Kluyveromyces lactis: one gene and its partners. The protein of the gene in region 2 purifies or fractionates together with the protein of the main gene of each other region. This does not show direct contact. Links are inferred from orthologs where the notes say so. Each region holds a gene or a part of one and is shown on either strand. Other genes may lie near its edges.

Region 1 (7,749 bases), on a different chromosome or scaffold from region 2:
TTTCCTAAAAAGTCATTAAATTCCCGAAAAAGCTGACAACAGCGATTTCTTTTTCAGTCAAGCTGCCATCCGTCATCAATTGCCCGAAGGCATCTTCCATAATTAGAGAGTGCTTATTTATATGAAACGATGGATATATAACATAAGAAGGTGTAAACGGGATCCTAATTACTGTCCAGGACGCGTATATCATCACCTACCAGGTTAATGCTACAAAAGGCTACATAACTAAAACCTTATAAATCAGTTCCGTGTTTGTATTTGAAGGATTAGAGCAGAGGTCATCAAAACAAGCAGCAGGCAGCGGAAAGAAAACTTATCAATTAGAGAAAGTAAAGAGTATGGGGCTGTTAGTACTGAACACGATGACGAATCCTGGCCCAATGCCTATATTGAATCATATAAAATCTAAGGCTAGAATATTTGAACCGACGACAAAATATTCAAGGCACAAGCTGAAACAAGATCTCAAGGCGCTGGGTAATGTCAATGAATATGAGGTTAATTCAAACCAGAGAACCTTCTCTAGTCCAGTTTCGGTGTCTCCTTCGTCTACACCCGATGCATCATCTCTAACCCCTTCTTTGTCAAGTGTTCTTTGTCAGATAAAGAAAAGAAGCAAAGACCGCAGAAATACAGGATCCACCGTATCTTCAACGGATTCGCTACGGAGCATATTATCATCAAATTCGAGTCCCTATGGTACGAGTGCAGATAATGTGTTTTCAGATGTAGGTTCTAAAGATGACAAAACACTATATGGAGTAACTGACCGGAACCATCCATTGAGCCATGTCGACAGCGATACGGAAACATCGCAACGACGCGTGCAGAAGATAAGTGACCCTCAGAGCACTGGATATGAAGTTTTGCCTCATACTAAGATGTATAATTTGAACGATTTGGATTTCACAGAATCTTTTTCAGAGAAGGACATTCTACAACCAATTACACCAATCTACGAAAGACCCAAAAACAAACGCATGGATATCGATCCAATATTTACCAATACATCAGATGAAAGCTCAGAACAAGAGCATAAACGTCACAGGAAATTCAAACCGATCTTTTTACAAGAACAAGTTGTAGAGATGGAGCACTGGCCCAACTCTTCACAGCAACAGCATCTACAAACTAATAGCATGGAATCCATCACATTGGATCCCATAACGCAAAAGAGAACTCGCCAACAGACGCTAAATCCATCCTTTTTACGACTGTATGCATTAGAAACTAGTATGAAACAGAAAAATTTATTGCCTGACCTCAACTTAGATGAGTCCATTCTACAACGGCTTTCAATCCAAGAAATTTCTCAGTTGAACATTCCAGCAGATCCATCCAACAGGATATCACCACATCAAATCAAATTAGCACTAATAACAAGAAAGAAGCTTTGGTCAGACATGTGCCAGGTTACGAGGACAGATCTTCACGGTGAGCATGCACCAGCAAACTTGAAATTCGTCAAGGCAACAACTGTACGTGATTCTTCTTCATCAGATATCGAAGAAGATGAAAATACAAAGGAAACTACGTCACTCGTGAGATTGAACTCCGAGGTGAAACCTTGGTCACAACCAGAAATGTCACAACCAACTATGTTCAAACCATGTGGCAGAATTTCCCTTGGAAAAAACGCTAATTCCAAGGAGATTCAATACGTGGTGAAAGGTTGGTGTGACTGTAGATTTGCATGAACTCGAGCTGATAATATGCAACATAGATAAACAAAAAAAAAACAACAAAAAAAAGCATTTACCTTCCTATCACCGATACCATTATACAACCATATATGCATATATAGATATAGACATAGATATTTATTCTTCCCACCACTTCACTTTCCTATTCGAGATGTACTCGAGCAACTTATCAATTAATAATGATGCTATGACTTTAGTACCCAATGTATTAGGAACTTACGATCTTTTATGGATTAATAAGACACAGTAGGTCCCTCATGTCCACAAAAACCATCACATGATAACTACAGTATCTCTAAGATCTCATCTAGATATTGATCAGATAACACCATCTTCTAAAGCTTCAACACACACCCCACACAGTTCTAGCAGTGAGTTGGTTCACGGTGTCTATATGCAGTGATTTTAGTCACGTGATAAAGCCACAACGGATTTTTAAACTACTTGATTCAGCCAAAGTCCGTTCATCGAATGAAAAAACATGATGGTCTAAAGAGCATAAACGTATATAACAAGAGATTGGGATGAGATAAATCTAGCAGCTTCAATCAAGGAACTCCCCTATATCGATATATCGGAGACAGATTTCGAAAGTTTCCTAACATTATAATTAACTGCCAAACTCATCCTTTCAGATCGCAGTATCCAGTTTTAAAAAAAGTGGCACTTACAATACATAGGCTACAAGCCAATTAAATACAATTTCTGACCAGGCAGCTGAGAAATTGTCAACCTTCCAAAGATTAACACTGGATTTACGAAAGTCTGTTACGAGGGCGCGCAATCACTATAAAAAATGAGACCTACTCAAATTAGATTAATAAAAGTGAATCCTGATAAAATTCGCCGCGTTGCAGTCATCGGAGCTGGTCCAGTTGGATCAGGTTTAACAAAAGCCTTGCTGAATGAGAAACATTTCGAATCTGTCAAAGTTTTTGAGAAGAGATCCAATTTTGGTGGTCTATGGAACTATACAAAACCTTTACTGAAGGACTCTAATGTCACATCGTCGCCGTCTGTTCCTTGTGAATACCCTCACATTAGAATTCAACCTCAACCACACCCTGAAGAAACACATGTGTTCCAAACAGCAGTTTATAAATATCTAGATACCAATGTTCCTAAGACATTGATGGAGTACAAAGGTCACAGATTTCCAACAGACACCCCATTATTCCCTGTGAGAGAACAAGTGCTTGATTATATTATGAAATATTCCAAACCCATTGAAAAATATGTTACTTTCAACTCAGAAATTGTGAAAGTTTCTTACGAAGACGCAACAGCTGAATATTCTGTCAAAGCTCAGAACCTTCTCAGTAAGGAAATTACAGAGGAGAAGTTCGATGCCGTTGCCGTTGCTACTGGATTTTATGATCTACCATTTATTCCTTCAAGACCAGGTTTAAAAGAATGGAACGTGAAATACCCATGCTCCGTTTCCCATGCCAAGGATTTTGACTGTCCAGAAGATTTCCATGGTGTAGAAGGGGAGATTTTGATTGTTGGTAACAGTGCTTCTGGTGCAGACTTAGCATTTGAATTGGCTAACGAACTACAGAAGCCTATTTATAAGTCGAAGAGATCCGAATCCAAATTACCGGCCCCATTCGATCCTTTCATTAAAGATGTGCCTGATATTAGAGAGTTTAATCCGTCAACAAAATCGATTACCTTCGTTGACGGCACCGAATTAAAGAATGTGGAAAAAGTGATTTTCTGTACTGGTTACTTAAAGTCCCTACCATTTTTACCACAGAATGAATCTGGTGTCGGAAATTCCATTCTCAACAACTTAATTGGTGATGGTAGACGAGTACAAAACCTGTACAACCATATTCTTCCAATATCATTGCCAACATTCGGTATTATTGGCCTACCAAGGTTTGTTCTTCCTACAAGACTATCCGAGACCCAAGGTGCTTGGTTGAGCAGAGTATGGTCAGGAAGAATCCAACTTCCATCGGAGGAACTTCAACAGAAGTACCATGATTGGTTCATCGAGAAAAGTGGCGATGGAAGTAAGTATCATGATTTGGCATTCCCATGGGACGTCCAATACTCTCAACGATTAAATCGTGAGATTAGACATGCTGGTAATGGTGGTTATTTTGGTGTTGAATGGAAAGGAGATCAGATTAGAGCTAGGTCAGCCATCAACGCTATAAAAGAAGGATATGTCGCTTATTACAAAGCTACCGGTACAAAGGCCAAAACTCTGGATGAACTTTTGGAAAGTGGGTATCTCAAATGGCCAGAAGATTCTAAGTCCTGCGTACAAATTCCAACCTTTGTACCATAAGTTATCGAGGGTAAGTATAGTTCAATTATACTAATATCACAAAGGAACTTACGCATACATATTTGTCATTGGAATATGTCATTATCGACATTATCTTTGATAGATTTATAGACATGTCAAATAGATATAAATATGAATAATTCTGTACTTCAAAAGTGAATTAGGTATCAGCAGCTTCAATCAAAAATGAGAAGACTATTAAGTTATCACAACTATACCGTAGGCTTCAGCTGACATTTTTTCTTCTTTCTGCCGGAGGTAGAGATTTTGTCTCGGTTCTGATTCTGTTATGATATCCTTTGGAGAATGTTGAAAATATGAAAACTGACAAATTTCCATGTTTACCAGCTACATCTGGTAGAAGGGTTGCAAGGAAACTGTGAAAGGACTCTCAGGATTAATTGCCTGTTAGTAGTGGTGAATTATTACAACAATGAAGCGGTATAGTGTGTCATATGTTGAAGTTTGGGATGGAGATCGAGTTCTTTCTAGCTGGTACGACTCCAAGGACGAAAACAATAGTAAATATGGAAGCACTGATAAAGGGAGAGCCGATCAAAAAGCAGTGTTTCACAGGTTAATCGGCGATATGGTAATACGAACAGTGGTGAATCTTCCGGGAAACAAAGTTACAAAGACGTCTATCGACCTTATAGAGGGGTATGATTGCTATTATACAACTGCAGAGAACAATAAAGTGCTCATTTGTTTTGTTAAAGAAGAAGTCCCCAAATTCCTACCGTTGAGGTTATTATCAGAACTAAAATGTTTGAATAATGACAACGATGAATATTTGAAGAGTAATATCGATAATCAATTGGACAAATTCCATGAAGAATTATTATCTTATCGCACGGAAGGACAGCAGACAGCTGCATCCACTGAGGAAGAGCTACAAAACATTATTGCAATAATGAATGATAATATCGATAAGTTTTTACAGAGACAGGAAAGGATATCCCTGCTTGTGGATAATACTAATCAATTGAACGAAAATAGTTTTAAATTTCAAAGGAAATCCTCTAAGATTATGAGAAAAATGTGGTGGAATAACGTTAAGTTTTATTCCATTGTCATTATAGTTGTACTGGCGATTATTGTGATTGTGTCGTTATTATTACTACATTAGTTCTATTTTTTTTAAGTATAGGTAACCCATGAGCACACGAAAACGGTATAATTGTTTATAGTACTTATACTTCTTGCCACCTCTTCTCCACAAATCGATTATACGATCATTCCGTCTTCTGTTTTTTTGTGCTTAAATCCAGGTCGTTCTGGCGCGTGCTAGGTACTTGTTCTTGGTTGACTGGAGGCCCATCTAATTTATCATTTTCAGCGTTACCTTGTTGAACCTCAGTATCAGCTCTGGATTTAGGCTCGGCGTCAGCATCTGCGCCTTCTCTGCCATCGTCATCTTCATCATCTTCATCATCTTCCATTGCTATGTCTCCGTCCGCACCAGGCACAGCATTATTGACTTTATTTTGCTTCTTCCAAAGTATGGCTTCCTGGTACTCCTGCATCTTTCCCGTGAGTATGCTCTCCAAAGCACCTAGCCCCAACGTATCTAAAGCAGCCATGATATCCTGATCATTACAACTCTTTCTATTAGAATCCTTTGCGTTCATTCTAGCAAACATTAATAAGTGATTGACAAAGACTGTCGCTGACCTCTGCATTGCCAATGCAGCATCCTTACTAACCGTGATTCTTCTCTCTTCTTCGCCCTTTTGAAACGCGTTCTGAAGTGATTCCTTCGCTAGAGATGTGATTATGCTTTTAGGAAATAGTAAATCATCAATACTGATCTTTTCTTGTTCTTTTATATAAGACGTATTAGGATAATTTCCTTCAGAATCCTTTCTCCAACCTTTTGGTGGCATACCCGCGCTTGTTTGCCTCTTAGAGTTTTGTGAATTCTTTCATTTGATGGTTCTTATTTTCTTGAATCATTAGTGGTAATAAATCTTAATGCAAACGCACAAATTTCACTATAAGCATAATGATATTACTTCCACCAAGAGAACAGTAATGAAAGCTAAAAAAAAGTAGATAGAAGTAGTAACAGCTAATAGTCTGCTTCGAACTAGTCATCATATCCTCGATTAATATCGATACTGAACCATGTGTACCATATGCATTTCGTCTTGAGGTACTTAATCGTACGTGCCAAATAAACAATAGAAAGATTAAATCACGTGACATAGATTCCCATACTTTTTACATCTTTACAGCCTAGTTTCCAACTTTTCAATTTTTTCAGTCATGGGCATCGCATCTCATCACATCTCTTCTCGCAGAAATCAACTTAAGATAAGATATATAGCTTGATCCTCAGGCCTAGTAAATAATCGCTGAGGTGTGTGTCAAAGGCCAAGTAAGCGTTTTCAGCTGGTTTGTTTTAGGAGGGAAAGCAAAACCATATAAAGAAAAGTAAGAATTTAAACTTGCAATATGCTCAGGGCTGCCTTTCAAAGTTTGAAGTCAAAATTTGGCAGAAAAGTAACGTTGGATAGCTCAACGATCGATGTTTCTCAGTTCAAGGTGGTGCAAGAGGGTGATGCTAAGATATTATTTCCTAACAAGGAAACTGTGTTCTATAATCCAATCCAGCAGTTCAATAGAGATTTGAGTGTCACTTGTATCAAAGCATGGGATGAACTGTATCAAGAGGAACAACGTGAAAGCCGTGAACTGAAGAGCAAGAACAAGAAAAGGAAACCCATAGAGAGCAATGAAGATGGTTCCGATTACGATACTATCAAAAGGCGTAAATTAAACGAAGATCAAGACTCTGTAGCTGTGTCTTCAAAAGATCATTCTACCAGGCCGTACATCAAAATTTTGGAAGCATTGAGTGCAACCGGGCTACGTGCTATAAGATATTCTAAGGAGGTTCCTAATGTGAAGACTATTGTAGCCAACGATTTACTACCAGAGGCAGTGGAATCCATAAAGAGAAATGTCATCTATAATGAGGTCTCGGATAAAGTTGTACCCAATTTGGATGATGCAAATGTGCTGATGTACAGAAACAAAAGCAAAAATGAGAAATACCATGTAATTGATTTGGATCCATATGGTACCGTTACTCCTTTCGTCGATGCATCAATGCAATCCATCGAAGATGGTGGATTGATGCTGGTTACATGTACAGATCTATCGGTCTTGGCTGGTAACGGATACCCCGAAAAATGTTTTGCATTGTACAGTGGTGTTAATATGGCAGGTCACGATGCTACTCATGAAAGTGCATTGAGGCTAGTTTTAAACCTTTTAGGACAATCAGCTGCAAAGTATAAAAAGACTATTGAACCACTTCTTTCGTTAAGTATCGATTTCTACGTCAGAGTTTTCATTAGAGTCAAAACAAGCCCAATTGAAGTCAAAAACTTGCAGTCGAATACCATGGTCGGATATATGTGTTCTGGCTGTAATGCTTACCACACACAGCCTCTAGGCAGACAACAAGAAAGGACAACTAAGAAGGGGGTCAAATTCACCAAATTCTCCTTGGCACAAGGTCCACCAGTTGATAGGAATTGTTCATACTGCGGGAGCGTCCATCACATCGTTGGGCCAATGTACGGCGGTCCATTGCATAACAAAAAATTCATTGATCGTGTATTGAGAATTAATAAAGAAGAACATAAGGATGATATTTATGGTACGAGAAAGAGAATCGAAGGTATGTTGACTTTAGCCAAGAATGAGATAGCTGCTCCTTTCTATTTCACA
Region 2 (8,065 bases):
ACTCAAGTATATTGACTTTGAGGGATAGGTTTTACTGCCTGCAATATGTGAACGATAATTCGTACAAAGGAAGATAAATGTCAAGCACCACCATGCCGTTATAAATATTGACTGCAACCTTGTCGGATAGTGTCCACCAGTTACTGGCTCAGGAGCAGCATGCGTTCCGTTAAACAGAGAGGGAATGGTAACATGCTTTTCGAACACTCTAACAATCCATACCTTTTTCATAGCTCTTCTAACTGAGTTAGTTTTCTGTGGGAAGAACACTTTCAACCAATGGATAAGACCACCAAAGAAAAATATAACTGGGAAATATGCTGATAGAACTGCCCCGTAATAAAATGAGTGATGGTAACTATTATAAAAGTTTTCCATGGTATCGTAGTAATTATTATAGAACTTTTCACTGTAATACACAGGGAACGAGATTGGAACCGATTTGTTAAAGTGTGGGACGTCACTTACCTTTACCAAATGAGACGTAGCGTTTTCGTATACGGCAAGGATCTTCTTTTCACTGTAACCATTGCATGTCTGATTCACAGTGTTCATGAACTCTTTTTTAGTCGAGTCATCTTCTATGTGTTGGAAGACGCAGTAAAAGTATGACCCCGCATAATCAACGTTCTTACAGAAACATGTCGCAGCCTTTTTCGCGGTGCAGAATGTTGCTACCGATGCCAATGATTGTGTACATGCCTGTGTGATTTTCAGAGCAGAACTTCTGGGGGTAAAGAGATCAGTTTTGACAGATGCTGACACCCCATTTAATAGGAACACCACCAAAAATGTCAAAATAAATTGCAGTTTGGAGGATCTCATCGATTATGTTCCTAGAGCCTTCGTGATTTACCTTGGTGAAAAATATGATGTTATACTTGGTGAGTTGATAAAAACGAGACAGTAAAAGTTTAAAATCCATATATTAAACCATTGATGGGTCCAAAATGCTCAAATAGTTTCTCAAGAATGATGCTATTATATATACATATCAGAAATCCGAGATGATGACGAAGATCCATACCGGAAAGCTGATAAAATAAATTTGGCAAAAGAATCTAACGTACCTATCTGATATCCCTCAAATTGCGAATGCTAACGTTGTAATATCGCTCCCTACTGACAGGCAATATCAAGAAATGTCCGAATACGATATCGATTTACTTCCATTCCGTTCTAACTTGGAAAAAAGTGGCGGATCTATCGTAACCTGATATATCATCCTTAACCCCACTAGCCTCGTATCATAGATACTCTGCTATTGTATCGAATGTTCTTATTTCTACGTTTATTACTTTCGCTGGTGCGAATCTGACAGAAAGGAAAAAAGAAAACATCGAATAGATATGAAAACCCCATCTCTGCCAAGAGTTTAATAGTTTGATAAAGCTTCTAGCCCTTTCTTCATACTACAATTAAACTTATTCAATTGCAAAAATACCATTAAAATGGGGGTGTGCAGACCCTAGTCTCGCAGACATCAACGTACCCATCTTATGTCCTTTTACTGAATTCTCGAATGCATGAATAAAACTAAAAAATAAAGGCTTGGCTTTTAGATGTTAATAATCAATCAAACAGGCTCAGAACAGTCCGGATTAAGCCATCTCCCCGTAGCATCCATGGTACAGCATAAACTTTGATTTGTTCGAGCTTTAAGGGAGTATAACTCACGTAGAACAAGTAAGAGAACTCAGTGTGCTGGAAACCTTTTTTATTCATAATTGGAATCTTTAACCCAATTCGATTACTTAGATTACTTTAAATCACACCCAGTTTTGACCTTTCTGCATACCGATGCCATTTTTTATCTGAAACTGTCAAACAAACATACAAACGTTCTGAAAAAGAAAAAGGATTCAAGAAGGTTAAAAAAAAGAAAAAGCTGTGGGTATCTATTGGATGAGCGAAGCAGTAATACGTCGCTCTTACAATTCATTTGTAACGTGAGAGGAAACATTATGTCTTACATCAGGGCCAAGCTAGCCTCGATGTAACTTTGGCTTTAAAATCGAGCTTTTGCGTTGAGCTGAATGAGCAAACATAAAATGATTACAATTATCGGATCAAACTAGAACGAAAATTGACAAAGTCTCAAAAGGGACCCTAATCAATGTAGTCAACTAGAATGTATAAAGCTTTGCTATCATTTCTTACGTTCACGGGATGTTCTCAGTCAATCTCCCCTGTATCTACAATATATATCTACAATGTTCATACTATTTTTATCCGCTATTTGCGGAACTGACAAAACATGCATTATTTCCATGTATGCACAATTAGACGCTTCCGTCTCCTGTATTTTCGACCCTCTTTTTTTTTGAAATTTTTGGTTTTTCATCCGCATTTCTTTTTTTTTTGCTACTGAGATGCTGCTCGAGGACGGAAGACTACATCTACTGCGCATTTGACGCATCTCGAACGGATGTTATGCTGTTTTTAGGCTATTCAAACGGCACTGCCGTGTGTCAATAGAGAGTTGGCGTTCGACCGACCAATTTACGTACTAGCATCCATTCAAATTAAAGTTGTTTCGATGCAAAGCGGGATGAAAGGTTCATCCGACCCAAGAATGAGCATTGTTTTCCCGTTTACAACTGGCTATAGTTCGATATATCCTTGTGTCTAATGTTCATCACTCTCAGTTAATAATCAAGATACACTTCATCTCGATATAGTTTGGAATAACCAATTAAGAAATGTTATGCCTCTCCGTTTAAGATCTTGATTTGGTGTGTGGCATCTCATGGTTCTATTGTTGAAGCTCCATAGGTGCTATCAGTTTTACTTGTATACTGTGTTCACACCTCATCTATGCTGCGTTACCACATGTTCTTGGTGTTCTGGTGGAAAGATGTCCCGCTGTATTGAACTTCTTTTTCTCTAACCATAATACTAGAAGGAATTTAATCATTAGGTACTCTAAAAAAAGAAAGACTATGCCAACATTACTGACTCCCAGGCACTTCGCCACATCGTTTGAGTAATTTAAGAACAGCCGCTTTCGTTTTAGCATTGTGTCACATCCATTTTGCTGAAAATGGTTATTATTCCGGAATACCGTTATGAATATTAAACCATGTAGTTTACAAAATTAATCCGGTTGTATGAAAGATGTCCTTATTGAATTTCGTCGAATGCTCAGGATAATCAGTAATAGTCCGCAATCTCCAGGATCCAGTAAGAACGGAAACGCATCTGTTGAGGTTTTCATTCTTTTGATTTCTTTTCTTACACTTGCATACTTTTTTTACGGAAAGATGCGAAAGGGTCCTCTTATCTGAACGTTTTAGAGATCATGTTACCCCTCAGTTGATGTGTTTTCATTCATCTAGTGATATTATCAATCAACTGCCTTTTGCGTAGGCTCATCTAGTAGATTTGCTGAGGAAGTATCATCATATTCATTAAAAATTGTACCAGCATTCTGAAATATTAGGTTTGTTTCTTACCGTAAGAAGATGTAAAAAATTGTGATACATTTCTTACTTAATTGTATATTTATTCAAAACGGTAAGGGAGCCGTTCGTCAGAAGCTTAAAAAACATTTTCGTTACCATTAACATCTTCAAAATTTCCAAACGTCCAAGCCAGATGGCAAGCTTATTTGCATCGATATAGTTGATAATGGGAAATGAAAGACGTTAACGTGAAACAAACCACTCGATGTGGTTGTACAAATGGGTATACACCATTTATAAAATAATTATTCCACCAAAAAAGTGACAGTTGTGTTAGAGAAAAGAATACAATTACAAGAGAATGAGTTGAATATTACCATTTTATAGTAGATCGTCATCCGCCTCGACGATTGTATTTTTCACCTTCAAGAGTATAGTTGTTTTCCAATGGTCTAACTTATTGAACCTATCATATTCGTAGATCTTTTGCGATAATTTTTCAGTATCACCTTCCCTTACAGCTTCAATTACGTTTGATAGTAACTCAAACTCCCTTGATTGAGAGAATGATGGATCCAACGATTGTGATTCGTTCAAACTTTTATCTGCAGCTACAACATCACCAGCAGCAAGGTAACATAGGCCAATCTTCAATAAGTACTCTTTGAGCGACCACTGGCTTAATTTATTCCCCAATGAATTTTCAACGACTTTCTTTAAGATCTCGGTAGCTTCCAAATAATCACCGTTCAAAGCTTTCAAATCGGCGCATTTAATGTAGGATTTATTCGAGAGAGCAATAGCTTGGTCTTGCAAATACCAATCACCAGCTGTTTCATAATTGGCAATGGCACTTGGGTAATCCTGTAATTGCTGTTCTTGTAATTCAGCCAATTCGAATTTGAAGTTGGCACCTCTTCTAAACTGACCTCTTCTTGTGAAAATATCTATCGACTTGGCTAAGGACTCAGCAGCTTGTGCTGGAGAAGATCCTGTCTTGAAACACTTGTAGGCTTCGATATACGTATTTCCTGCTTCATCTTCATTAGAAGCCTGTATTTGACACTCTGCTGCCCTCAAGAAAGTATCACCCGCTTGATCCAACTCCTTTCTTAGCCTATAGAGGTTTGCAGCCTCGATATAAAGATCTGCTGCTTCTTCGTAACGGTAAGAGTCTGAACCGCTAAGGAAACTGAAAAATCCTGATGATGGTTTAGCCTTCTTTTCGGCCTATTACAAAAATGACATGAGATATGTTTCCATACCATTAAGTGAAAAAGAGAGAATACGAATGATAAATCACTTCCTCTTTCATCACATTATGGCTAGGGTTTGCATATGTTTATTGTTAGTATTAGGGGTTCAGGCGAGAATAAGGTCAACCATTGTCATCATACTTTCCTAGACTTATTGATTTGACCTTTCAACATAAATGATGGAGAAAAAACGTACCTTAGCTATAATTTCTTTAACATCCGACATATTCAAAGAAAACCTGAGTGGGATATGGCTGAATGCTGTTAACTTTTGTCAACCAAGAGCTTGCTTACAACTTTTACTATCAAACTATCAACATTGTATCATCATTACATGTTACATATTCTAATTACCATCAGAAAGTAAAGAAATTCCTTAAGGGGAGAAACAACGGAAGGCTATCAGCAGCCGGGTAATTAATTCACGTGACTTTCAAATAGGCTGGCCTGGGAGCCGGTCCAAGGTATTTGGCTGGACGCGAGGATGAACACTCGACCATCACGCCTAAATCAGTTATATAGGGTAGATGGAATATAAAATAACACAAAGTGGAAAGATACGTTTTATTGAAGGATACTTATAACATGATTATACGATGCAACAAGCTTAAGCTTCAGCCATGTCTCTCAATCTTCTGATGGTAGATCTGACGGTAGCGGCAGCGGCGGTAGACAAAGTGTAAGCACCACCAGCGATGGTTCTGTTACAAGAAGAACAAGACCAGACACCAGCAGCACCTCTCTTAACACAAGTCTTACCACAGAAAGAACAGTTATAAGTGGCGTGTTGTTGAACTTCCAACTTCTTAACTTGTCTTCTCAAAGAGGAACCGTAACGGACACCGTACTTACCAGTGATACCAACCTTCTTAGTTCTTTTAGCCCTGAATATAAAATGAATTGTGTATTCATTACGTCCGATTCCAATAGTTCGATTCAATTTGTTCACATAATGGGTGGTAATGAATCGATACCACAGGTAGAATGGGTAATAACACAGATATAAAAGTTAGTAAAATTGTTGCAATTAAAGGAACAACAGTTTTTTTGGGGGAGGAGGTCTAATAGATCGTCATTTATTCTGCTGTCGTGCGTGTGGAGCTGACACTATAAATCATCACACTGGAATTTTGCATCTAGCTGTAGTTTCTTGTGCTTATGGTATAATTCCAGTTACCCATTTGTCACTACACTTCTTCTATGTTGATTCCATCTCCTAGTGAACAGGTCAGTCTGCCTGTATCGTATCAGTCTGCTTCTTCTTCGTCTTCTTCAATCCTCATCGTCTAGTCTATCATAGTTCATAGTTCAACTTGTTATATCGATCACTGAGTTCTTCGGCCCCATAACTGTGCGCGGTGTGCATTAGGTATCATACATTTTGGTTTCTTTGTGTTTGCTTGGTTTCTGGAGGGTATATAAGAGTGAATATGAACAACTATAAAACGTAGTTAACAACCTATACAATCTTTAAATTCTAATCACTTGCTAAAGATGAAAACTGGTTGGTATTGTAAATGAGTTTGAAACTCGTCAAGTTTGCAGAATTGAAAAAACTGTGAGGATGAAAGATCCACTGTCCACTAAAACAAGCGTAGACCGAAAAGAGGATAGTAGATTTTTTGTTAAACTGTAAGAAAAAGAGAAAAAGTTGGGATGTGAAAATCCGAAAAGGGAAATATTCTAAAAATACAAATAATTCTGAGAATACACAGGGTGTAAGGGTAAATTACTACACCCGTACACCCAAACAGTCCGGAAATATAGAAAAAATGAATAGAAACATCCTGGAGTGCCGAATCTACCATTCACATCTTCATGACATCGCGATGATTCCCCCATTGGACACTTCCTTATATTTGGGTAATTGAAAAGAATAGAATACAGTGTATACGGAATATTGGAGGATAATACTCTGTACGAATGTATATCGCTGTTAAAGATGGAATTCGCCAGTGTAATCTCCGAATCCCCGTAATGCCAGGGGGGAGCTTGATCCTTAAGATCTCCGCTCAAACACGACTACTGTAACAACTCTTTACCCTTTTGGGTAAAGAGATGATATATGTGTCTTCCCTTTTTTTTTCGAAAAGAAAGAATATAGTATTGACGTACCAAATACAAAACATAACAGAAGATCACTCACAGCTACTAACAACTCTAAGCAAAGTAATATTGTTCCGTGCTGCCCGTATTAACGTCTGCTCGATCAAAGCAAAAACCAAGTGTCAGTGCCGTCTCAACCCAGTGACAACCCGAAACCAGTCTCTTGTCAAACGGAAGCAATTGTTAACGGTAGTCAAACAAGTCAAACAACCTACAGAATAATAGACAAAGTGCTATTATTCTGTGTCGATATCTTGTCTTGTCTTGTCTCAATGTAAGATCAGCTCCCCCTGAAATATGCACATTACTGTAGAGAATGTTCCCAGGGGTGAGGCTCTATACTAAACGGAATAAAAAAATTGTTCAAACAATGTAAAGTTCCGCTACGCCATACAGAGATTTATGAGCGGGGAAGGCGCGTGCTTTTCCCTAATACTATAGGTATGTCTTAATTATATTGCGTTACCGCATACGGAAACGCCTGAAATGTCACTCTTAAGTACTGTGCTGCTTTTTGTCCCCTTCAAATCAAAATTTATCCTGCGCTTATTTCACTTCGCGTGTCTTATCTTGGCTCTAAACTGCAAATCAAATTAAATCAAATCAGATCAGAAAAAAAAATTATTTTTTTTACAGTTAATACCGCCCTTGTTTCATGCTACGGTTCTATCTGGTAAATTCTTGCATTATAATTAACTAGTTAATTAGTTTTATTAGTTTATCCCAGTCTCAATATTGTTTTTACTCCTGTTTCCACCTTGTTTCTGGATCTAGATGTAACTGGGCATGATACGATATGACATGATTTAGGGTTAATTTGGGAATTATTTTAGGATAAATCTAGTTTTATCTAACTTTAGTATATGCAGTTTGAAGTGGAATGCTATCTACCAAGCTTATATATAGGTCTATCGTTTTTGAGGCTTTTGACATATTCTTGTCTGTCTTTCTTTTTCTATCGGTTGCCTCATTACCGTGCATAAAAAAAAACTGATAGTGAAATACTAACTGGTTACCATAGAAGCTTAATATACTTTACCCAATACAATGCACTGCGAGCTGGATATTTCTAGCTATTTGAAACTGGACGACCTGCAAGAATGTGGAGTTAACATGGAATGGCATGGTGAATTGGCACTTTCTGATCTCGAAGATGATGTAAGCCTTGATTTTCATGAGAAGCATGTTATCAGTCGACACGATTTACAGCCAAGGTCCATCCATATGCCGTCGATGATCCATACTCAGCCTGTCCATTTGATTCACGTTCACAATTTGAAATTTTTACAGACGAGTTTT
Region 3 (7,404 bases), on a different chromosome or scaffold from region 2:
ATACGGCGAGTTGCATCTCATTTTGGGAGAAAGGGATTTAAAGTCATTAAAAGCACTTATCCTGCTGGAGTTCGAGCAGTTTTTGAAAAATTGGGAACCTTCAATGACTGTTAACCCTCAAAACGTTATTCTCTTGAAGGAGGCAGTGGGTGACTCCAAGTTTTATGAATTAGTCAACAGGTATTGGCTTTCATCTTTCGCTGATTACTTCGATTCACACTTTCACCTGATTGACGAATTTACCGATGCAGAGAATGAAATTTACATTTCAGCTATTATTGATGTGTTGAAAGAATATAATGATTTCTTCGATTTGCCAACCAGGAATAAAGTATATAAGGTCATTAACAACTCGCTATTAAAGACCTTATTCCAATGGTTTGTGTTTAAGAGCAGCACCTTCCGTTATGAAGCTTCTTCATGGCTAAAATACATGATTAATAGAATTTACACTGCATCTTCATTAGATAATGTAGAAGAAGTGAAGAAACTTCTTGACTTTGTCGATCATCCGTCAACACTTTCGGACCATGACGAACGGCTTTCCTTGAAAAGTTTAATTGAAAGCACTGGCCAGTCGGAATCCAGGTTCAACGCTTTTAACAATACACCCATGACCAAAATTTCTACCACCTTTAAAACTGTTGTAGAAACTTTTTGTCATGATCATGGATTATCCTTCAGAAAAACTGATAATGATACTGCCTCAATTAATATATTTGGCAAAGAGAAGGTAGCTCCGGTATTCACTGTGAGTAAATATAACAATAAAAGAGTAAATGTAGTCCTTATGGGAGATATTTTATGGTTACAAAGGAGAAACAGAACAGAATCAAGATTTGAGCCAATTTTTCTCTACCAATTACTGGATCTAATTTGAAAACAGAATAAGCATGGCATATCATTAGGAAAATGTCTTTATGTAGTGTTTATACACGCTATCAGAACATTTCATTGGATTTTTGTTCGTTTTCACATTGCCATTATGTCGAATGGAATTGTAGAATGTAATAAGAATGTATGTTAATTTTTTTTTTATTGGACAAAGAAGGCGAGTTCGATGAACAGGTCAGTTCATTACGAGAGCCATGGGCTTTTATTTGAATTGGATATAACACAAACAAGGGAACCACGTAATTTTTTTAATTTCTTTAGCTTTAGTTTTATTATCTTTGTTCAAACGTCAGAATTCATGATGCTCATTGGCAAATTTAAAAAAGTATCTTTAACGGCAGCAGTTCAGGGTCGGGAAGATTCTATTTCTTTTCATCGTCAGTGTTCGTGACAGCGGCAGCTTCAGGAGTATCCTTTAGTTGAGGGTTTTCTTCCACATATTTTTCCAAGACAGGTTCGAAAACGGCATTTTCAGTTTGTACTTCAACAGTAGAGGTGGCAGTTGAAACCGGGGTAGTGCTCTTATCCTCGATTTTTGAAGCTTCTGCAGAAGCTTCTTCTTCATCCTTGATTTGTTCAGCATAATAGTCTGGGTATTTTCTGAAACAATTTTGCATAGTGGAGAACTTCTCAACACAGTTGATACCCTTTGGATCAGCTTCAGAGTAGACAAAACATGAAAAAGCGGACTTAAACTCTTCACCGCAAGGACCGTATGCCATACCACCTAAACAAGGACAATCCCAGTTGATTTCACCAGTTTCTGGGTTGTATGCAGTTTGTTGTTCGTTTTTTTTTTCACCTTGAACACCTGCAGCCGCAGCAGCCGCAGTAGCGGACTGTTCAGCAGTGCCACCGGAGATAGACCGAATTTCAGCTTGCTCTTCTGCTTCTGTTATGGTCTCAGCTTCAGCAGGAGATTTTTCATGCAAAACAACATCCGATTCACCTTCTGAACCGTCTTTTGAGGCGGTTTTTACGGCATCTGGGCTTGTTTGTTGAATCTCCTTTTTGTCAGCTTCATCTTCTAAAACAACACCCTTGGCAGTTTTTGAGTCATCGAAGCTCAAAGAGGGAGCTTTGGTATCCTCGGAAATGCCAGTAACAGGTTCATTGGTGGCTTCTCCACTGGCAGCTGGTTCGGTAGCTTGTTCATTGACGGATTCAGCAACTGGCTCAATGGCAGCTGGCTCATCTCCTGATAAGGTGGCTGCTAAGGCCTGGTGTGTCTCCTCGCTATAAGTAATCTCGTTCTCAGGAGTAGTAACTGGCTCAGCACCTTCCTCCTGAGCAGACACCGGAGATTCATCGGCATCCTTCGTAGGTTCAGAAATAGATTGTGATTGGCCCGCTGCAGGAGTCTCTTCAGCAGGCTTCTCAGCAGGAGCAGGCTTCCTCTCAATCAAAGTAGGACACCCATCAGCAACGTAGATGGCACCAAGAGTACTGAACCCAGCCAACAACAATGCTGGCTTGTTCATATGGCTCACTCCACCGGAAGGTGGATGAGCACTGTAAAACCTAATTTGTCTAGCGGATCTAAAAGCAACACGTCTAGTAGCTTGTAAAGAAACACGGAACATTGTCTTCAAAAAAATATGTATATGCCTATAATCAATTGACTCGTCAGCAACTTTCAAACGTTTTCTAAGTGTACTGTAAAAATACCAAACCTAACTAAAAGCAAATTTCTTTCCTCCCGTTGTGGGTATCAATCAGCTTCTCTTTTAAATGTTCCTTTGACAAATTGAAAATGCCTTTGTTAGCAAAAAAAAGAAAAATTCGAATATCAAACAAAATGGATATTGAAGCATTGTGATATGAGGATGGGAAATGATGATGTATTTTGAAGATAACACGGAGACGAGAAGGACAGTGTTATAGTACACGTATAGGGGATCTAAGAATAGTTAAGTTTGGGCAAAATAGTAGCTTTTTTTCTCATTTGACAAGTGGGAGAAAACAGGATACAGGATACAAGGATGAAGATATATTACATTGGAGTTTTAAGAAACAGCGATGATAAGACCCTTGAATTAAGTTCTGTGAAGGACTTATCACAATTTGGGTTCTTTGAAAGGAACAGTGTTGCACAGTTCATGTCCTTTTTCAGTGAGACTGTTGCTGGCAGGACAAGTGCTGGTCAAAGACAGAGTGTTGAAGAAGGTAACTATGTAGGTCACGTTTACGCAAGGCCTGAAGGAATTTGTGGTGTTTTGATTACGGATAAGGAGTACCCAGTAAGACCAGCTTATACGTTGTTGAACAAAGTATTGGATGAGTATTTGGTAGCGCACCCTCCTATCCAGTGGAAGGACGTGACGGAGAGTGACGATTCGCTCAAGTTGAAGGAGTTGGATATCTATATTGCCAAGTATCAGGACCCATCTCAAGCTGATGCAATAATGCGTGTACAGCAAGAATTAGACGAGACCAAGATCACGCTACACAAAACCATTGAAAACGTATTACAAAGAGGTGAGAAATTGGACAATTTGGTAGACAAGTCCGAATCACTATCTGCTGCATCGAGGATGTTCTATAAGCAAGCAAAGAAAACCAATTCGTGCTGTATAGTTATGTAGACGGATTTGAAATAGAGGCCAAAACATGGCCAGCCTGATCATATATAGCCCTTGCTACGAGTATTAAGCATAATAGTAATCAAAATAAAGTAATAGTAAGGTTTCACCGGCGTTTTGACCGCCACCTTTGATCAGCCTTTCGTTCCTTCCTGTCCACTAGGGTCTGATTTATCTATCATCATCTGGCTGAGTACGGGCAGCGGATCAATTTTGAAAGAAATTTTCTCCAAAAAAAACGACCCCGGAGAGGATTGAACTCTCGATCTTGCGATTAACAGTCGCACGCCTTAACCAGCTTGGCCACGGAGTCTACTTGCTGGACGCTGTCTTTTGTCCAAGATACCATAAGGTCCAAGACCGACCATTGCCTGCTCACCTGATATTACGTTATCTGCCTGTTAAATTCGGAGTACTTACTCACAGCGTTATCCCCCCCAAACACATAATATACAGGAGGTAAACAGCAGCTCCAAAAGTCACTCCGAATCTCGCTTTTCTCAAGCTCATCGTTAGCGTATCGATGGTATAGTTCGGGCCCTGTTTCCTGTTCTCCGACCCACCCTGTCTGCTTTCTCCCCACGCTACAATTTTTTTTTCAGTTCAAAATGCCGTTATGCATGCGCAAACCTCTCGAGACGTCCTTTTTACCGTTTTCCGTGTTCTATGTCAAGCTATGGAACACTTCACTGTTCTATCTACCGTCTGCTACGACTCCCTACGCTATTGCAGGTTTGTTGACCCATCTGACCTTAGATCTCCAACTGTTCGGCTGGCAACTGCGTAGTGAATTTTGCCTACATTGAGGGAATACAGGACCCATAGAGAACATCCAGAAAGCCGAATGAGAATGGGGTTCCCTCATTGCGCGTGGGTTGCGTGCAATTTTTATACCGATATAATTCCAAATATATACCAATTACAGTATGGTTGACGTCCAGTGCGTCAATGAAAATAGCCTTGGGGTACTGTTACTGATCAAGCGTCCTTGGTAATCCGAAGATCCGCTTGTTCCAACTCAATGTGACCCACGAATGTGGAAACTGTTTAGCGTTTTATCCCACACTAGAGAAAGAGGCATTCATTTCTGGAGTTTGCGAAGAGTTGGCCCGATATTTGCTGTTGACGAAAATGACTAGTTCGAGTTTAATGCAGATGTAATAGACAATAGATAACATATATATATATATATATATATATATAAGTAGAGCTATGTCGCAGTTGGGAATTGGTTATAGTGCGGTTGAGGTTAAATTTGTTTGGTATAATCTTTAATCAGAAAACAAAGCCCCTAGGTATCAACATCGTCATTACTATGAGATCAGCCGTAAGAGTTTTTGGTAAGAACCGTGTTAGTGGGTTGAGATTTGCTAGCACCAGTAGTAAATCTCCAATTCATAAGTCTAGTGCTACTCTGCGTTTTGGGAGATCAGCTAAGTCTGGCTATAGTGCGTTTTCGTTCGGTAAGAAAGTCATCACTGGTGGTGCCTTTCTTGTTGCCGGTTCGGTTGGTATTGCATTGATTTCTCAATTCAATGATAGCGTTGAAAATGGTGCCAAGGTCGATATGACGAAACCAAAGGTTTCTCCAACAGAAGTCGCAAAGCACTCTTCTCCCAAAGACTGTTGGGTGGTCATTGAGGGTTACGTATACAATTTGACTGATTTCATCAGCGCCCATCCTGGTGGTCCAGCTATCATTGAGAACAACGCAGGAAAAGATGTGACCAAGATCTTTGCTCCAATTCATGCTCCAGATGTCATCGAAAAATACATTGCTCCAGAGAACAGAATTGGTCCACTAGATGGTACAATGCCTGATGACTTGGTCTGTGCTGCATTGACCCCAGGTGAAACTCCCGAAGATGTGGCAAGAAAGGAACAATTGCGTCAATCTTTACCCGATATTGATTCCTTGGTTAACATCTATGATTTCGAATTCTTGGCATCCCAAATCTTGACTAAGCAAGCTTGGTCTTACTACTCTTCTGCCGCTGATGATGAAGTTACACATAGAGAAAACCACGCTGCATACCATCGTATATTCTTCAAGCCAAGAATCTTGGTTAACGTTAAGGAAGTTGACACTTCCACTACAATGTTAGGTGAAAAAGTCGGTGTTCCATTTTATGTGTCTGCCACCGCATTGTGTAAACTAGGTAACCCCAAGGAAGGTGAAAAGGACATCGCAAGAGGTTGCGGTGAAAGTGACGTGAAACCTGTTCAAATGATTTCCACTTTGGCTTCTTGTTCTTTACAAGAAATCGTGGAAGCAGCCCCATCTAAGGAACAAATCCAATGGTTCCAATTGTATGTGAACAGTGACCGTAAGATCACTGAAGATCTAATCAAGAACGTTGAAAAATTAGGATTAAAGGCCATTTTCGTTACAGTAGATGCTCCTTCCTTAGGTAACAGAGAAAAAGATGCTAAAGTCAAATTTACAAACTCAAACGGTGCCAAGGCTATGGAAAAAAGTAAGGTTAAGGAATCTAAGGGTGCTTCTAGAGCTCTCTCGTCATTCATTGATCCTGCATTAAACTGGGATGATATCATCGAATTTAAGAAAAAGACCAAATTGCCAATCGTCATCAAGGGTGTTCAATGTGTTGAAGATGTCTTGAAAGCTGCTGAAATCGGTGTTGCAGGTGTCGTTCTATCTAACCACGGTGGTAGACAATTGGATTTCTCTAGGGCTCCTATCGAAGTGTTGGCTGAGACTATGCCAGTGCTAAGAGAAAAGAAATTGGATGATAAAATCGAAATTTTCATTGATGGTGGTGTTAGAAGAGGTACCGATATCCTAAAGGCATTGTGTCTTGGTGCCAAGGGTGTCGGTCTAGGTAGACCATTCTTATACTCTAACAGTTGCTACGGTAAAGAAGGTGTCAAGAAAGCCATTGAGCTATTAAAGGACGAATTGGAAATGTCGATGAGATTACTCGGTGTCACAAGTATAGACCAATTATCCGAAAAATACCTAGATCTATCTACAATCCATGGTAGAACTGTCAATGTTCCTCGCGATAACCTATACCGTGAGGTATATGTCCCACATGAACCAACTCAATTCTTAGAGGAATGAAAAGAGCAATCTCACTTTTGCCATTCGAACCCATAAAGACTCATATTATTTAATGAACGTTTCTTTAATGATAATTTATAAATGAATATTCCAACATATATTATATAAACTAAATCGCGCCAGAATAGATAAAACAAATATCACGCAGGTATTTACGAAAAAGTAAAACAATGTCCACTTATTTATTACGATTGGCGAATCAATACGCAGTTATACAATTCCCGTTGACATTCAATTCAAATTACGACGATACACAACAATAAATCAATTTCAGTCATGTTTAGAGTCCTATTTCAAACCGCAGGAATTGTTTTAATTTGTTATTTTAGTTTGATAATACATATATCCAAAAACCACATACAAGATATTCCTTGCAGATATTGATACATATTTTGTGTGTAGAATATGATTCGATTGCAGAAGGCATGACATCAGAATGTGCACTTTCCTTTCAAGCAGATGTCTTATGGCATCTGATATGACTCGTAGTAATCATTTCGAGAAATCACAAACTGAAAAAGCTGTCATCTTTTTGGAATGATAACCTTACTTTGTTGTAGTCAGGTACGTAGGAACTATGAGAAAAAGAAATGATTCACGTGACACAAAATTGCATCATCCTCTCTCACGCTAAGAAAGGGAGCCCCAGGTGTGCCTTCCGTTGTCCCACATTCATGTAAGCCCTTCAAACCTTCATATTAACGTCTTTCCAATAGCCTGCTCAGTAGCGTACAGTTCTGGAGATGCATTCGTCGAGAGTTCCTTCTGAGCAGTAATTATGCTTCGCAACGACGGTTTCCGGGCGAACGTTTCGGGGTTCCATCTTTTTTCGTTCAGCCGTCG
Region 4 (7,717 bases), on a different chromosome or scaffold from region 2:
ATCGTGTATGAAATGGCCAAGGATGACGATAATCCTAACGATTTGAGTTTTAGAATCACAGCTTATAATCGTAGTACCTCGAAGACAGGGGAATTATATATTTCACCACAAGTGTTTTTCAGAAATACTTGGTCCTGGAACGAAACCGATCGTGTTAAGCCTCATCTAGAGAAATCTGGTAATAACTTTGTTACTTTGTCCACAGAGAAATATGGGACCACTTACGCGATTTTTGCCCCTTCACCGGGTGAGTTTGACGACGGAGAAGATGATCATCCGACTACAGTTGCTACTAATGGTGTTGATGACGATCAAGGTATCCTAGATGTGGAACCGGAGTTGTTGTTCACAGAAAACGAATCGAATTGGAAGAAATTGTTTGATTCAAAGGAAAACCCCACCCCTTATACCAAGGATGCCTTCAACGAATATATCGTCAATAAGGATACCGAGGCAGTAAATCCGAAGAATGAAGGTACCAAGGCATGTGGTGTTTACCACTTTCCCAAGGTTCCCCCTGGTGAATACGTCACTGTAAGATATAAGTTGACTGATACCAGGTTACCGATGTTCGAAGATGAAATGGTTATCGACGAAGATGACTTTGACAGTCTTTTCGATAGGCGTGAACAGGAAGCGGATAACTTCTACTGGAGAGTCACTCCGGCTCCGATCCCAGAATCTCTGAGAGCGGTGCAAAGACAAGCTTTTGCCGGATTGCTTTGGTCAAAACAATTCTATCATTTCGTGCAAGACGAATGGTACTGCGGTGATCCACTGCAAAAGCCTCCTCCACCAAAGAACCGTGCAAATGGGAGAAACAAGGATTGGAAACATATGTATGCTGAAGATATATTATCCTTGCCAGATAAGTGGGAATATCCATTCTTTGCTTCTTGGGACACCGCGTTTCATTGTATCCCATTAGCTATGATAGACCCTGAATTTGCAAAGAAACAATTGGATATTTTTACGAGAGAATGGTACATGCATCCTAACGGACAAATTCCTGCTTATGAATGGAATTTTAGTGATGTAAATCCTCCAGTTCATGCATGGGCTGTGTACCGTGTTTTCAAGATTGAAAGAAATATGTATGGCCGTGAGGATAGAGTGTTCTTGGAAAGAGTATTCCAAAAACTTTTGTTGAACTTCACATGGTGGGTTAACCGCAAAGATCATGACGGTAACAACGTCTTTGAAGGTGGATTTTTAGGATTGGATAATATTGGTATCTTCAATAGATCAGAACCTTTGCCAACAGGTGGAACATTGGAACAGGCAGACTCGACTGGTTGGATGGCATTCTTCTCATTGCAAATGTTAAATATCGCATTAGAACTTGCAAAGGAAAATCCTGTCTATGAAGACATTGCCACTAAGTTTTTCGAACACTTTTTGTACATCAGTGATTCTATGTCCTTCAAATTCGAAAAGAATAGTGCAGACAACTTCAAAGAGGAAGTCAAAGAAAGTTTGTGGAATGAAGAAGACCAATTCTATTACGATGCCATTTCTTGGGGTGAACCATTTAAGCAACAACTACCAATCAGGTCTCTCGTTGGTTTAATTCCATTGTATGCTTGTATGACTTTGGAACCGAGAATCTTAGATAAGTTCCCTGGCTTTAAGAAACGTATTGACTGGTTCCTTTCCAATAGAAGTGCCATGTTTGATAGAAATATTGCTTCTATGGAAAAAAGAGGTATCGGTGAGAGACTTCTATTAGCTCTTGTTAATGAAGATCGGTTAAAAGCCATCTTATCTAGGATGCTCGATGAAACTGAGTTCTTATCCGATTACGGTATAAGATCTCTATCTAAATACCATGAAACCCACCCATTCTCTATGTCCGTTAACGGTGAACAATACGAAGTCAAATATTTACCAGGTGAATCAAACTCAGGTATGTTTGGTGGTAACTCCAATTGGAGAGGGCCTGTTTGGTTCCCTACAAATTTCTTGCTTGTCGAGTCATTGCAAAGGTTTTTTTTGTACTATGGTCCTGACTTCAAAGTCGAGTGTCCAACGGGGTCTGGCGAGTTCCTAAACTTGGCCCAAGTGGCAGAAGAACTTCAGCATAGATTAATTCATTTATTCATCCCCGATGCCGAAGGCCAAAGAGCTGTATATCATGGTGAATACAGTGAGTTTTTGTCTAAGGATCCTAATTTCGAGGAACTAATTCCTTTCTATGAATATTTCGACGGTGATACTGGTAGGGGCTTGGGTGCAAGCCATCAGTGTGGCTGGACTGCGCTAGTGGCTAAATGGATTCATGACACAGGTTTATCATGTGTCAGGTTGCCTAGAACTCCTAGATCATCTGTCACTCTGTCCAATTTAGACAAAACTCAAGTCGATTCATTGTTAAACGAATTAAAGCCTAACATGCCACGTAAAATTGCAAGGCGTAAGAGTTCCAAGTCGTTAATTAACTTAACAGCTACGCAACTTGAGTTGACAGAAGAGGAGAAATATCTACATTGTATTGGTAGCACAAGACGTGAATCTGCAAAACTTGCTCAGCGCTCCGGAAGCATCATCAGTAGCGAAGAAGACGATGAAGAAGGTGTGACCTTCGAGAAACTGAAACAGAACCAGTTAGCCGAAGAAGAATCACGTCTAGTAAATGAATTAAGGAGGCGTCTATCTCATACCACTATCAATTCAGCTGATGAAGATGAATTAGAATGTCTTCCATGAACAGCGCTATGCTATTCTGACCGGCCTTTTTCCATCACTATTACTATCATTATCATTATTATTTTTATTATTATTATTTCTTATATCGTTCTTATTTTATATACAACTAGATAAGTATTCAAAATCAGATATCATTTATACACGGTAAATTGTATTCTTCTCATGAGAGTATAAAATTATACCACAAGGGTCAAAATTAAAATTATATAAATTCATTACTATAGCTATTCTGCTTAAACTTGCATTGAGACTGAACTAAAAGACGCAGAGAAATCGATTACTATTTGAATTTGGAGAATATCACTAACAAGATAAGTAGTATCAAAACCGCTATTATTGCGTAAGAAATGAACTTATTGGCTATGAGTCTTCTAGTCATGGTTTTCAAAGTGCGAATACTCTTGTCGACGTACGAATCAGCATGGAACAAAGTTTGTCTTGCATTCTCCAATGTTTCTCTTTGAGATCTCAAATCCATCATTATCTGTGCACCAACGTTCTCAGTCTCGGATGCCAGTCTTGTAGCATCCTGTAATTTATCACCAGAACGTTGTAAAAGCGCATGGTTCGATAAAAGCTGTTGCCTTTGTTCATCATTATCGAAGTGGCGACCTTCAAGTAACTTATTCCTATCGCTTTCTTGCACCAATTGCTTTAAAGGATCCTTAATTTCATTCTGACACTGTCTCTTATAATCTCTGATCTTTGCTTTATAAGATGCCCTTGTCTTAGAATCCAACGAGTTCCCTGTATTATTCAACTCTATTTCCATTTGATCCACTAATTCTAAAGATTCATCATGGTACTGTTGAATTTGTAAAAGTATATCCGATTTTCCACCTTTTAAAACAGCACCGGCATCATTCTTAGCATTAGCAAGCAAAACCTTCGCCTGGTTTATAGCGACTTGACATTCAGATTCATAGTTCTGCAATAATGAGGACATCCTGATAAAATAATATGGTTCAGAACCTTCCTTTTTATATTATCTCTTCCCGAATTTCACAACCTAAAGGAAATTTAAGGTTTGAATGTAAACTTGCAGGCCAATGTACGTCTGAAGTAGGCCCCGTTACCAGCTATAACAGCTTAATCACCAGGCCTGCTTTTCGTTGATTCCTAACATTAACTTGAACTCATGGGAGAAGCTTCAATAAAGGGAATAGAAAGAAAAAGAAAGAAAAATACATTGTTCACGTGACTTTGATTGAGTCATGTAAAGACCAGTATCTAGATAAGGGCAAACAATCATTTTGAACCACATCCGCCAAATCCGCGGAAGACCGAGGTGGAATCAGGCCCAGAAACGGTCTGTTTTTTTTGTCTTTGGTTTCATTTCATACCGGCGTTTTCATGAACACTGACAAATTGGGAAAAATCCGATGAGATTCAATAATTGAATGATTAACAATAAGCATTTGCCAATTTCGATGTGAACTGAAGGGAGAACTAGATATAAAGCAACCTTTTTTTGCCAAATAAAAGCTACTTAAGAATCAGAGTTGATAAAAGTTCAGGACAGCTTTTTTTCTCATTGTGGTATAGCAGACGGAAAGGGTCTTTGGTTTCCTTTTAGTAACACTTATCGTTGTTGTTTGTGAATTATTTTTAATCATCCATATCTATTTGGAAAAACTCCTGTATAATCAATGATCAGAGGAATATTGACTAGACAAGCTGGGCATCTGAACCAGTTAAGAGCCAGAAGCATTACTTCTCCTAGCATCTCTCACAACATATGGTTAGCCCGTACAAATTTGTCATGGAAGAGATACCATGGACATTTACATAAACCGAAACCGGGAGAAGAGTTGCATGTGACATTCATATTGAAGGATGGAACACAAAAGACTTTTGAAGTGGCAGAAGGGGACTCTCTCTTGGATATAGCTCAAGGCCATAATCTAGATATGGAGGGTGCCTGTGGTGGTTCTTGTGCTTGTTCGACCTGTCACGTGATTGTGGACCCAGACTATTACGACGCATTAGAAGAACCTGACGATGATGAAAATGATATGTTGGATTTGGCTTACGGGTTAACTGAGACAAGTAGATTGGGATGTTGCATTAAAATGAATAAGGATATCGATGGTATCAGAGTCGCTCTTCCTTCAATGACAAGAAATGTTTCATCTTCAGACTTCGAATAGAGAGAATGACTAAACTGAATTCAGTCATCATATGAAAAGAGACAGCTTTAGATCTTTCTTTTTTTCCCAACAGGGGAAGCATGACATGAGTGACACCAGTTGCATTACCTGTAAATAGGAGCAATCAACCAAGCTCGTTCGCAGTCCATTATCATTATTATTATTTATCATGCATCAGTAAAAGTTTCCCCACGCTGTGTACCGGTGCTATCTATGCACAATACATACATAGTTAAAGGTATTTTACTGTTACCCGGTTACCATATCGTCTTTCACATAAAGAAAAGATATATTTGTTGTCCACGTGACTTTCAAATGACATTTTACGTATTCATCGCTTTTTTTGTAAACATAAACAAATAGACTGTATGAGAAAAGCTTGAAACATCAACAGTTGTTCAGAACAGGTTTTGGGTTCGGTTTCAGGTGTGTCTCACCTGTGTATCACTGATTTCAAATTGGGCCGTGCGTTTGTTACTGTAACTACCGAGATAACGGGCGCCTTAATTTTCTTCTTTTTATTCAATTACCTGATTTTAAGGTAGGCATTATATTACGATTGCGGCGACAATCCTGATCAGAGCTTGTCAAGTCAATGCTATTGATGAACAGTGACCTTTTGTTATGAATGAGACTCGAATTCCATCTATAAATTCAAGAAAACGGCAGAAGCCGTTTTCTTCAGGTTCTGTGTCTGGACAGAAGAAGCATCATCCTGTGCTAGCAAATATAACGAATATGGTGACCACTACAGGAACAACGACAGTAGCTAACAGTAGCGGTTCGAAGAAGGAGCAATTTGCTCCTTCATATCAAACGAAGAGTCAAAGTACGAATATGAGACTATTGAACAAATATTTTTATGGGGATCCCAACGTTATTGAGGAGGTTAAGAAAAGAGAGAGAAAAGCTTTAAAAGATATTCACTTGTTTACTAAACAGATTGAGGAAACGGATTCTCGGTTGGAATCCCTTACTTCTGAGGTTATCCCGCAGCTCAAATACAATTTGAACAAAAGATCCATCATTTTCAAGCACTTGAAACAAGAGACCATGGTGATGCAGGAACAATTATATCAGTTGAAGAACGATTGTGAGCTAAAGAAGAAAAACCATGAGCTGATAACTAACAACTTGAATTTAGAGCATTCTATAAATATACAAGAAGTGATAAATCAATGGCAGCTGAAAATATCTGATAAAAGACACATCTGGGAACTTGAGTTACAAAAATTAAAACAAACTAAACCTGATCCGGCTGTCCTTAAAGAAATCGAAGAGTTAAGCACAGATAAAGCGATCATAGAGAATGATTTAAAAGATTTGAAACGTAAAAACCATGAACAAATTCAATCATATGAGAATGAATTAAAATTACGATTGGAAAAGTTCAAAGAAGATAAAAAGGAACCGCTGATAGCATCCATAGAAGAAAACAAAAAACTAAAGATTAAGATAAATGATCTGAAGGCAACTCAGGAAGCACTACGAGATAAAATTCGAAATAGTGTTGATACTGAACTTTCCTTACAAGAAATTATTAAAAATAAAAGATTGGAGCTACAAACGTTAGAAGCTTCATTGGAGCCGGTAGAGGAGAAACTTAACCAACTTCAATTGAGATATAAATCAGAGAAAGATACCACTGATGAAGTTAAAGCCAAAGCTAAATTAGCAGAAGCGGAATACAATAAAAATTATGATAGAATGGAACAAGAGCAATCGCAAAGAAGAATCCTGGAAAACACAATAGATGAGTTGGATGGTCACATTCGTTGTTTTGCATATCTTAATTACGACGAACTTAATGACTATGCAGTAGACTATATGAACAAATGTATTATCGGAGATACAGATGTGTTTTACTTTAGCAGAATTCTTCCGAGAGACTTAGTATCACCTTCAAACCTTTTCAATAATGAATGCTTCACCTTCGTCGATTCGTGCTTAAAGAGTAAGAAAAGTTGTAATATTATATCAATAAACGATGATTTGAGGAAAGATTTCCTACGAACGATAAATGAACGATTTTTGAAATCCAAAGTTCTTGTTCAGATGGTTGTATTGAACGACAGTGACCTTTCGAAGGATTTATTAAATTCTGAGGATTCTGATTTATCCGCTGTCATTGACGAAAAATGTATTGATTTCCATTCTAAAAGACTACCGATTGAAGAAGTGAATAATTTTATACTTCCCGATTTCAGAGGAATTCATGTTATGAAATTTGAAGTCTTCGATAAAGAAGATGATTTTGAAAGCATATTTTTCATCCAAGCACCTACTAAGGAAATTCAGAAAATGAATGCGATTGATATCACAAAGACGGCTGTCAGCCCAGTCTCGACCTTCTTGCAATCGTTATTATTAAGACTTGAATCCTTAATAATATTCAATTTTGATACACCAGATTCCTCATTATTACAATTATCACAAACTTTACATAAACTACCAAATCCGAAATAGTAGTCATATTCCCTGTCTATAAATTCTACAAAAAAATGAAAGCGTGGAAATTGTTCGATTAAATCAATCAGAAGAGTGACTTTTGGCTCCTTCAATTGAGAATATTCGCAATACTGTTAGTCATTATTTCTTTGTAAGAATATCTTTAATTAGCCAGTTAAGCTCTTCCCGGCTTCCCATATTCTTTTCGTCAAGGGGAGTGAAGTTAGGCTTTTCCCGTTTATAATGAAATAGATCATCGACAGGACTTTTGAAATGAACGATCTCATCGTCATTTACCAACCCATTTGTAGTTAATCCAAGGTATGCACCTGTTGGATCAACAACGTTGGGGAATATCGTGAACGAGTCCAAAGCGTCTTCATTTGTAATGGATACAGTTCTGTTACCAGTAA

The links.
Region 1: the proteins of SEC17 (region 2) and NYV1 purify together in Saccharomyces cerevisiae (affinity purification with western blotting; 4 studies listed by BioGRID, with this or other methods). This does not show direct contact. The link is inferred for Kluyveromyces lactis from reciprocal best matches to the Saccharomyces cerevisiae genes SEC17 and NYV1.
Region 3: the proteins of SEC17 (region 2) and YKT6 purify together in Saccharomyces cerevisiae (affinity purification with western blotting; 5 studies listed by BioGRID, with this or other methods). This does not show direct contact. The link is inferred for Kluyveromyces lactis from reciprocal best matches to the Saccharomyces cerevisiae genes SEC17 and YKT6.
Region 4: the proteins of SEC17 (region 2) and VTI1 purify together in Saccharomyces cerevisiae (affinity purification with western blotting; 5 studies listed by BioGRID, with this or other methods). This does not show direct contact. The link is inferred for Kluyveromyces lactis from reciprocal best matches to the Saccharomyces cerevisiae genes SEC17 and VTI1.

Annotation. Positions count from the first base shown.
Region 1 is NC_006042.1:1,796,959-1,804,707, reverse strand, and holds NYV1 (Nyv1p), read left to right. Parts: upstream 1-4,441; coding exon 4,442-5,137; downstream 5,138-7,749. Other genes in the region: GIS3 (Gis3p), read left to right, coding at 342-1,700; KLLA0_F19470g (uncharacterized protein), read left to right, coding at 2,503-4,008; DPB4 (DNA polymerase epsilon noncatalytic subunit), read right to left, coding at 5,244-5,894; TRM1 (tRNA (guanine26-N2)-dimethyltransferase), read left to right, coding at 6,466-7,749. UniProt on the Saccharomyces cerevisiae protein: Vacuolar v-SNARE required for docking. Only involved in homotypic vacuole fusion.
Region 2 is NC_006041.1:526,409-534,473, forward strand, and holds SEC17 (alpha-soluble NSF attachment protein SEC17), read right to left. Parts: upstream 4,887-8,065; coding exon 4,857-4,886; intron 4,635-4,856; coding exon 3,786-4,634; downstream 1-3,785. Other genes in the region: KLLA0_E05897g (ferric reductase family protein), read right to left, coding at 1-825; RPL43B (60S ribosomal protein eL43), read right to left, coding at 5,268-5,544, 6,039-6,040; transcription factor IME1, read left to right, coding at 7,814-8,065. UniProt on the Saccharomyces cerevisiae protein: SNARE complex protein that binds to cis-SNARE complexes on membranes and is required for vesicular transport between the endoplasmic reticulum and the Golgi apparatus and for homotypic vacuole fusion.
Region 3 is NC_006040.1:224,639-232,042, reverse strand, and holds YKT6 (palmitoyltransferase YKT6), read left to right. Parts: upstream 1-2,876; coding exon 2,877-3,479; downstream 3,480-7,404. Other genes in the region: mRNA splicing protein SPP382, read left to right, coding at 1-880; MIA40 (Mia40p), read right to left, coding at 1,257-2,477; CYB2 (L-lactate dehydrogenase (cytochrome)), read left to right, coding at 4,792-6,561.
Region 4 is NC_006038.1:897,211-904,927, forward strand, and holds VTI1 (v-SNARE protein VTI1), read right to left. Parts: upstream 3,653-7,717; coding exon 2,987-3,652; downstream 1-2,986. Other genes in the region: KLLA0_B10263g (uncharacterized protein), read left to right, coding at 1-2,706; YAH1 (adrenodoxin), read left to right, coding at 4,356-4,856; CIK1 (Cik1p), read left to right, coding at 5,481-7,322; HFI1 (Hfi1p), read right to left, coding at 7,446-7,717. UniProt on the Saccharomyces cerevisiae protein: t-SNARE found in various SNARE complexes involved in multiple transport pathways. The composition of the t-SNARE complexes is specific for a limited number of v-SNAREs and therefore allows only the vesicles carrying the matching v-SNARE to fuse.